2 linked regions of the Drosophila melanogaster genome follow. The protein of the gene in region 1 interacts with the protein of each later gene in a pairwise test. Each region holds a gene or a part of one and is shown on either strand. Other genes may lie near its edges.

What was found.
Region 2: the proteins of tbrd-2 (region 1) and CG43737 interact in a two-hybrid assay, tested with the Drosophila melanogaster proteins (one large-scale study listed by BioGRID).

Annotation. Positions count from the first base shown.
Region 1 is NT_033778.4:19,258,207-19,262,928, reverse strand, and holds tbrd-2 (testis-specifically expressed bromodomain containing protein-2), read right to left. Parts: upstream 3,021-4,722; 5' UTR 2,865-3,020; coding exon 2,862-2,864; intron 2,808-2,861; coding exon 786-2,807; 3' UTR 635-785; downstream 1-634.
Region 2 is NC_004354.4:15,173,656-15,178,702, forward strand, and holds the start of CG43737 (uncharacterized protein), read left to right. Parts: upstream 1-1,785; 5' UTR 1,786-1,896; intron 1,897-2,155; 5' UTR 2,156-2,344; intron 2,345-4,037; 5' UTR 4,038-4,821; coding exon 4,822-5,047.

The sequences.
Region 1 (4,722 bases):
GCAAGTAAATTGCATGCACATCTCGTGTGTGGACCTTATGCAAATGAGCTGCGACGCTATTGCCATAGTGCCGTCCCTTTTCAACCCCCTGCTGCCAGCACGCAGGACGCAGGACGAAGGACTCGGGCCGGGCCGCAGGACTCAGGTGTGCGAGCGTGTCGGCATGCTGTGAACAAGGCGCCGTCCACTGTGCCCGTAATTAACCCCTGTCTCTGTGGCATTTCCCTTTTTCCATCCCATTTTCACTTTCGTTTGCATCCGAGTTCTTTTGGCAGTTTCGCAATGCGAGTTTCCTTATGCAAATGAGAGTGCATCCTCGCCCTTCCCTTTATATTCGCCAAGTGAAAATCTTATGCAAATTTCCTTGGCTGTGAAAAACTCCTTCCGCCGCGAGATACAGGATCTGCGTGATCTCCGCTCTAATTTGACTGCTGGGTGTCAGGTACTGCGAGCATCGTTATCCTTTTTTGGCTGCGATCGTGAGAAAGTTCGGAAATTTGCATAATTTTTCGTGAAAATTTTGCTGGTCTACGTGATCGTTGCAAAGACAGTAGAGATTGGAGATGCTAAATCTCTGATCGCAATTTCCCAAGCTCTTAGGAAATAATGAATTACAAACATATTAATTTTTTTTAGTTTCTTGTCCAACCATATATGTACACATGAATGTGTAATATAGGTGTTTACAGTTTTTATTTTCTTATATTTGGGATATTTGTAGTGAAACCCCCCTTTTTTTTACATATACATAAAATGCAAGAATTCATAAGACTTCTTTATGAGGATTAGGCCCTCAGCTGTCCTTCGGGTACATTGGGGACCACTTCAACGTCAGAGGAATCGTTGGACTCGGAGCTGTTGTTCGAAGATGAACTGGAACTGGAGCTTGATCTGGAGCGCGACCCTGAGCTGGAGCCAGCGTTGGAGCCAGAGCTAGAACTAGAGTTAGATCTAGAGCTGGCGCTGGAGTTTGACCTGGGTCTCAACTTGGTGTCGGACATGGACCTGGACCTGGACCTAGAAAGTCTGCCGGACTTGGATTTCATTTCCGACTCGCTGCTGCTGCTGCTGCTCATCTGGAGTTCGACAACGTGTGGCAACTTGGGGGGGGATCTGATGGGTTGCATTTGCAAAGGATTACTATTTATTGGGAGATTCCTCATTGGAGTGCCACCAATAGCCGACAGTTTTACCGGAGCGGAGACGTCATCGTCGCTGGTATCGCTCAGATTGTGAGTCTCAACAACACCTGCTCCCAATTGTGGAGCCATTACATTAGCCTGTAGCGGCTTCAATTTGGCGGTTAGCGGAGCAGTTGCTCTCTTACGCACCACGTTATTGGCAGTGTTGTTTTTATTCCTGAAATTGATCAAGGGACCACATCGGCGACGATTTTTGTTGAGCATCCGTGTAATGTTCACCAGCTGCGACTGCAGTGCCCGCTGAAGTCCTTCCTTTTCCGAAGGCTGCATGTCCTTGAGCTTCAGCTTGCTATGGGCCCTAGTTGCCTTGGTGACGGCACTTTTCATCATGATCATAGTATCCGTGGCGAGACCTTTGACATCGAAGCTCAGATCTCCACAGTTCTCTGAGGAAAATCCTTCGATTTGCTGGACCATGTGAATTATCTCCTTCATGGCGTTTGTCGGAAGCTTGGCAAATAATTTCTGTGTGGCACATCGATCCGCGTCAGTGATACGCATTGAGGCATCGATAGCTTCATCATCTGAGGATTCAATGCTAACTGCCATGAGGTTATCTATTTCATTTCCACTTAACAACTCCATAGCTGGCTTAAATTCGCCTTGGACCAAATCCGTTTCCTGCTCGGGGCTCATCTTCTGTCGTTTGCTAGATGATGGGTTTGGAGAATTTCGTTGACCTGCCTCCATTTTGTTTATCATCTTGTTTAAGGTGTCACAGAAAGTCTCCACCAAACTCTTGGCTGTCAGAGGTTCCCCGGAACCGGGCATTTGGACGCACTGCATCAAGCTATTTACCGTTAACTTGGCGGCAGCCAGTAGTTCATTTAGATCTGCGGCATTCAAAGCAGATTCCAGCGATGAGTTTCCATTCATGGAAGTACACCAAGCCGCCGGCTGATTAAAGACTCTTTCGTAGAGGATTTTAGCCGGTTCGTGGTACTTTCTAAAGCAGCCATCCACATGCAAGCAAAATTCATTGACAGACTTGAAGTACTGGCGATCAACTTTCTTTTGCAACGAATCCCACTTGTTACTGAAGAAATTGCGCGTCATGGCATCTGTCTGATTGGTGATGCTCTGCAACTTCTTCAATAATTCCCGGCACTTGCGTTCCGTCTGCGCGGAACTAGGAGCATTGGTCCTAGGCCTGCCCACCGCCTTGGGATCCCTATTGCAGGGCACCTCTGGACCAGACGGCATGCCTCGGAGTTTCTTGTGAAAGAACTTCTCCAGCATCTGGCCCTTGCGGTAAACGACATCGCCGGATCGATTGAATAGGAAGCAATTGCTAATAATTTGCTTGAAATCGGCAATCGCTTCATTGACAGATTTATAGTAGTTGTTCTGAACTCTTTTCACAATGGTACCGATATCCATGGGACGATGGATAACCGTGTAGTATGTGGGCACCATCAGAGCCTCCGTGTCCACGGGCTCCAAGAAGTCCAAGGCATACTTCTTCTTGCGAGCCTCGTCGAGCAAATGCTTCTTGAAGTAATGCAACTTATTGGTATAACGACCCGCCATTCCGGGATGCGGTATAAACTCGGGTTGGACACGATTTGGGAGTTTTAGTTTTACGGAAAGCGGCTTGCAAGATGCCTGCCAATAGAATGATTTGTAGAAATTCGCGCAGTGAATAGCTTACGAACTCACCATGCTAGAGATATATTTTTCAGTTACTGGTTACTGGTTGTTCGTTTGTTTCGATTTTTGAAAACGTGTCTCTTTCAATTTTACACAAATATAAACTCGAATTTGACTACGATTACGATTGAGTTTTGGGAACACTTTTGCCGTTCGACCGTCCGCTTTCAGGAACAAATTTTTGTGATGGAAAAACACATATCACCGCTCAGCTGTCCTATTTTGACAAGTGAAGTAATTGCACAGCCTACTGCCATTTAGAAATCACTAGCATGAAAGTTTCGAAAGTTCTAGTCAGGGATGCCAAGACATTGCATTTAAATATGCGGCAACCCCTAGGATTTTGCAAAAGTGAAAGTCACTATTAGAACATTCGTTTATTTTAAAATCCTGCCTATTCTTAAGCCCTCGATAAGCAGCAGTGCACCAATTATAGGCTGGTTGATCAGAAAGACACCGAAACTAAAGCAAACAATGGCACATCAAAGGGAATGGAGGCAAACATCCAACCACCCATACCACCCACCACCACACCCGACCGGCCCCATCCACTGAATATTTATAATAATTTGCACCACTTCAGAGGCTTTCAGCGTTTTGTACCCCACCTCCCGGTTGGAAAATGTGGCAATGGGACATAAAAACTGCTTTTTGCAATTTACATCAACATTTTTATCACCCCACCACCCATCGGCACATCCCACCACCGACAACCTTCAAGGAGTACAGCAACAACAACACGCTTTTCCTATTTGCATACATATGTAAGTGTGTCCCATAAATACAGATATACGGCCACGCCCCTCACCGCCGCCCACCACGACAGCCTCCTGCGTCTTTTTGCGCACTTAATTACACACGCATACGCTTCATTCCACTTTGCGGTGCTGCTTGTCTAGGCATACGAGCCACCCAACCAGCCAAACCACCCACCCAACCAGGCACCCACTGGAGGACAGGAAGGACTCCGCAACCATTTGCGAACCACCGCGGTGGGACAGGCCCACTACGGAAATAGACACGGGGCACACTCCGGAAAAATCGTACAAAATGGAGGTCATCACTGTAATCCCAATCGATAATGCAAATTAACAAGGAGTCGTAAAAATTATGAACTTGAATATGGGCAAAATTAATTGCAAAATTATACAAACTAATTCCCATCGTAGATATTACGATATTATTATATAATATTCCTAAATATCATATGCTTCTATGTTTCACAGTGTTCGCAGTACAGTCCTGCGATTGTCGTCCTATATCCTTGACTAAGGACTTTTCGTGCTGCAAATTTGTTGCTCTTTAGGCAATGGCACTCACAGAAAGGACCACTCACGGAATCGCTGGAGACGCAGAATGCCCGGCTATCGCAGGTTCTACCTGCCTGGGCCAAGGTGTCAATATTGCGTTATCATCCCGGGACTTTGAGTCCCAGCTCCGATCCCAGATCCCCGACCCCTGACCACTGAGCCCTTAGCCCTCTCACCCCGGCAAACGTCCACGTCCTTGGCCATTCTTTCGTTAATTTTATCTCTGACGGCGATTAATGCGAATAAATTTTATAGACGAAAATGTGCACTCGCATGTCCCGTCGCCGAGTTATCCTCTTTTGTGTGTGCGTGTTTTCCCTGGGACCTTTTCCCCCGCCACCGCTCGGCTAGCATTTTCCTTGGTTTTCCTACGTTTTCCTCTTCGCCCCCTGCCTTTGGCTAATGTTTTTTTACTGACTTTCTGTGGCCATTGTGCACCGCCTGTGTTTTGGAGTATGTGACTTTTGCTGTTTGTCTTCGGCACCTGCAGACCTGCAGTTGTTAATTGTTCGATGCCCGGTGCTTACGCGATCTTGCAGCTCTCAGGATCCCGACGAATC
Region 2 (5,047 bases), on another chromosome or scaffold:
GGGGGACTCGGGGCTGCGTGCTCATTACGCTCGATAAATGCGGCCGGCCTCGGAGTGATTCAAACGTGTAACGGCTGGCGGAGAAGAAAGCGTTCCGCCAAAAAAGGGGTACAAACATAAAAAAACAAATAATACAAAAAGCGCAAGACAAACAAACTGCCAAATGAATCTCTTTGAGGTCAGCAATTGAATGTGCTCGATGGGCAGGCACCCAAAGGGGAATTCAATTAAGTTTTCTATCACCTGTGTGGGTGGTGCTGTTGGCGGTGGTGCTACAGGTATGCGCATTGTTAATTTTTCAAAATGCAAATGCTCTTGCCAGCCAAATTGCTAAAGCAATCTCACCCACGGGCAACATAAGATACAGATACAGACATCTGCACTGCAAATAACGTTTGGCTAACTATCAACTAATCAGTAATAATTGTTATTATTATTTTTTTTTTTTTTTCCCCCTCTTAAGTAGTTATTTAAACTAAAACGCACTTTTGATTCTTAATATAAAGGCTATAATGGTTATACATTTGTTGAGCACATAACTTCGAAATCGTATTATAAAACACCCATTAATATTCTTACTTGATGATAACAATGGTGCTTAATGAATTATTTTTCAGTGTCCAGAAGGAGCGTGTTATTCAGGCAGGGGGATTCGGGAATTGACATCTGTCCAAGTCCAAGTCGAACCGAAATCCGGAATCGAACGGTGCTTGGCATTAGTCTTATGTCTGGCGACGTCCAGTATTTAACCGCCCATCAAACGGAGACGCAGTCCAACTCGGACTTGGATTTGGATTCGAGTCCAAAGACCAAGACATTTGGGAGTGTCGCCCGCGGGGACTCGCCTCGAATTCCGCAGCGTAGACAAAAGAAGTGTGCATGCCAATCCACTCCAGAAGAAAGATCCAAGAGGCAGCGAGCCAAAAACCGAAATGTTTACGTAATCCCACTGGCGAATTATTTATGGGAATTATCATGCGTGTTGCATGATCAAATGGCTATATGTATGTACATAGTATGCAAAGCATTTTGGCACCGAGAATCCACGAGGAATGCAATGTGAGGGAATGCTTTTGAAACGATTCCCAGAAATGCAGGCAAATGTTCTGTTTTCTACTGTGAGCTCATTTGAATTTATGATAAGGCAATAAAAATGAATTATTTCTTTAACATAACTATTCTCATAAATAACTAAATTACTTGACATTCCTTTTAGTCCTGAAACTTTGAACAAATTTTTTTACACCTATGGTGAATAGTGACCAAAAATAAGTTAAAAATATTAACAAAGTTGCGAAATTAATGCATTAAATATCAAACAATACTATAAATTAAACAAGAAACTGATAGATTTTCATTCGTAAATGTTAATTTAAAGCGCCAGAAATCAAAGCTTCGTCTTTAATAAAAGCTTGTCAGTAGCAATAGCCTTCAGCATTCCAAAGCTTTCTTATGTAGACTGTATTAGAATCATATAAAACTAAATATTGTACATTTTATTGTTTAAGCTGACACCTAATAGGTTTCGTTTTATTTTTTCAACAAAAGCGCATTCATTTTGTACAAAAAACATAAGCTTGTTTATTACTTGACATCCCCGCTCTTAGCCGTGACACAAACCGTCAGTCGGAGCTCAAAAGTCTCCAAACTCTCCGCGCGTTTTTCGCTGCGTTAACCAATACTTTCGCCATCCGAAGTTCGCCGAGCGTTCGGGAGAAATCGGCAGGATTTCATCCGAAGTGCCGTCGAGTGTCCTTTAAGGCAGATGATGCTTCGAAATTTGCGCAGTTTGCGTGCGGTTTTCGGAGCAATAGGATGCAGCAGCAATAGAAGCAATAAAATCAACGGCCGCCAAAGAATCAGCTTCATCAGCGGGTTAAATTCTAGAAAGGAGTTGTGAGTCTATAATCTAGCCTCCCGACCACACATCAGACCCTCCTAACCCACCCAACATCCACTCCTTATAGCAATCCTTACGAAAATCCTATGTGAATTCCCAGTAAAGCATCCTGCAATTTGGCGCGTTTCCTGCGCGTTTTTGCGTGTTTTTCCGCGTTTTAGCATTGTTGTTGCCGCTGTCATAACAGCATCGAATTCTCTGGCGGTTTCTCGCGGTGTTTTCTCGTTTCTAGTTTTTTTGCTCAATTTTTTGCAGTGTCCACAGTGATTGAACTATTTAACAACTATATAAAGAAAAGCTGAAATAAAAAACAAACAGTTTCAAGTGACTTTATCATAAAAATTCAAAGAGAGTGTGGAAATTTGTGTGTTTTTTTGGGCTCTGCAAGGACCCTTGGATTACCTTGCGGGGCGAGTGGAATCGGGAGCTATAACTTTGCCGGCGGTGAGTCTGAAACCTATATCAACAAATACGCATGGCGTCAAATTGAGAACCCCCAAAGCCTTCTTATATTTGCTGTATTTAAGTGGTGGAGTGCTGTAGTAGTTTTCCATGTTCCACTAGAGGTATTAAACGGGGGATCCTTGTCTTGCAATGCCTACATTTAAATAATAAATACGTGAATGGGTTGACCATTAAAGTAAATTGGCCTTGCTTTAATTTTGTATTTATTTCTGGGCTGTAAGACACTTACTTTTTATTTATTAAGTGGGCAAATTAGATTTCGCGTTTAAGATAAATAATTATAGAGCTTAAGTGCATTTACTTTCTTTGTATATATTTTATACCAACCAACCAAACTAAACAGCACTCATAAATGTTTACACACTTTTTGTTTATTCACTATTATGTGGGTTTCTTTATTTGCTTTTAAAATGAAGAGCGTGCCACACGTTTACAGAAGTTTATATTTTAAGTTCTACTTGAATTCATACCGGCTTGCGTGTATTTTTGCGTATTTATTTAGGCTTCAGTGAAAGGGGAATTTGGTTTTACGAGTGTATAGTATGAATTTGTGTATTTATAGATATTCCTTCCATATCATTACGGCTGCCATTATCAACGCTTTTATTACGCTTCCGCTTTTGTGTGGCGCCTCCGTTGCGCCCATTTGTTTTTCCACAGCCGCAAACTTTTCCCTTTTTTGTGCCCTTTGATGTTTCACAATAGTTGCGAAATGAAGGGTCAAAGGTCGGCGGTGGTGGTGCGGCGATGATAAGCAACTTGTTACGATGACCATGATGATGAGCGAATTGAAAGCTTTTTCCTAACCCCACCCGCTTGCGGTTTTGGCCCATTTCTATGCTCCCATTTATATTAGTGTAGATTCAACCTTTTTTCGCAGCTTGGGATCAGGGCCAGGTCTGTGAAATCGAATCATTTTGTAGGCTTTATATTTAATTTGCATGGTCTGGTCTGGTCGCACCACCCCATAATGGGTTAGGGTTCAAAGGGACAGGATGGCCGTGTCTAGCAGTCCATACCTTAAATTTGTACTCTCTGTGGGTTAAACTTCCTCCTGCATACTCCTTGGCCAGTTGACTAAATTGAATTAAGGCGGCAGCAACAGTTTTGCGGCGGTTTTTCTTAGATCCGGCAACGAGAAGTATGCCATAAGTTGTGGGTAATATATCTGGGGAGATGGCGAAATCAAAGGAGCTTGATTGATGATAAAGCACTTAACTGGTCGCTAATGGGCTCAGTTTGAATTTTCATGGAAGTAGGGGAGTATAATATGTAGTGGCTTTTATGGTGGTTTATGTATATATAGCAATATATATATAGCAATGTTATTAGTTGTTATAATATCAATTATATCCACTTCTTTCTAAAAAAAAAAAAAAACATCCAAGACCGCTTGACTCTTATTTATTTATTTTATTTTCTGGTTTTCTCTTCTTTATTTTCCCGTCATTATTCCAATCGTCCTTATTCTTTCAGACATTGCAACCTGGCAAACACTTTTCACATTTTTCTTTCCATTTTTTTTTTTTTTTGTTGCCGTATTGCTGTTGCTTCATTAGTTTCATTGGATTTGCCATCGAGCAATGCGATGCGATGCAATGTAGCGGCAACAACAATAAGTTAAATTGTTGCTTCTGCCGATTTCGTTATTTCAAATTTAATTTCCATTCAGGATGCCATTGGAGTGACGGCGAAATAAACCAGCAAGAAATCGAAGGAGCCTGCAACAAGGAGATAGCTGCTGCAACATCAGGGATCAAAGAAGGGATTATAGCAGCAGCCTCTAGCCCTTTAAGTGCTTCAAAGCGAAGGAATAAAAGAAAAAAAAAAGGGTCGGCTTCACCACCCACTGCCATATTTTTTCGGGCAGTGCATATATTTTTAAGCCAACAAAAAAGACCACAAGGACGCCGCCAACGGTGAGCAGCGGTTGAAGCGGCGCTGCAGCCGCAGAAAATGGCCGCATCCACGACTGCAGCGGCGATAACAATAGCAGCAGCAGCGACTGAAGCAGCAGCAACATGAATGAAACCTGCAGCAACTGTGGCAGCAACATTCCACGGAAACGCCGATGATGATGCAGATGCAGATGATGATGATGACAATGCTGATGATGCAGACGACGATTACGACGATGACGACGTTGCCGAGTTGCAGTTTCAAGAGCCACAACACAATGCCAAGTGCCAACAACAAGCTGAGCGAAGGGGGAAATTAAGTGCCAAAGGCAACCGCAGCAACATAGCAACAGCAACAGCAGCAGCCGTAGAAGCAGCAGCAGCAACAGCGAAAAGATTTTTCTCCAGCCAAACTGAATCCAAACTAAATTTGCATAACAAAACACGTGCAGCGAGCGCAGAAGTAAAATCTCCATTTCCCAGAAGCGTAGTCAATAAGGAGGCAGCAACAGCAGCAACTGCAGCAATATAGCCAGCTGCAACATGCCCGGCAGCAACATGTCGCTCTCACTGGGCGTTCGGGGGCGTGGCGCCCTCTGGTTGGCGCTCCTGCTGGCCACCACTGCATTCTGCGGTGCTGCCTGGGCGGCGCCCACAGTGGGTGGTGCTGCGTCAGCGGTGGTGGCGGGGCAAAAGCAGTCGCATCACCAATACCACCACTTGGAAATCGGAGTGCAGGGCAATACGCCAACGTTGATGGAGGCGAGCACCACTAGAGGTGGGA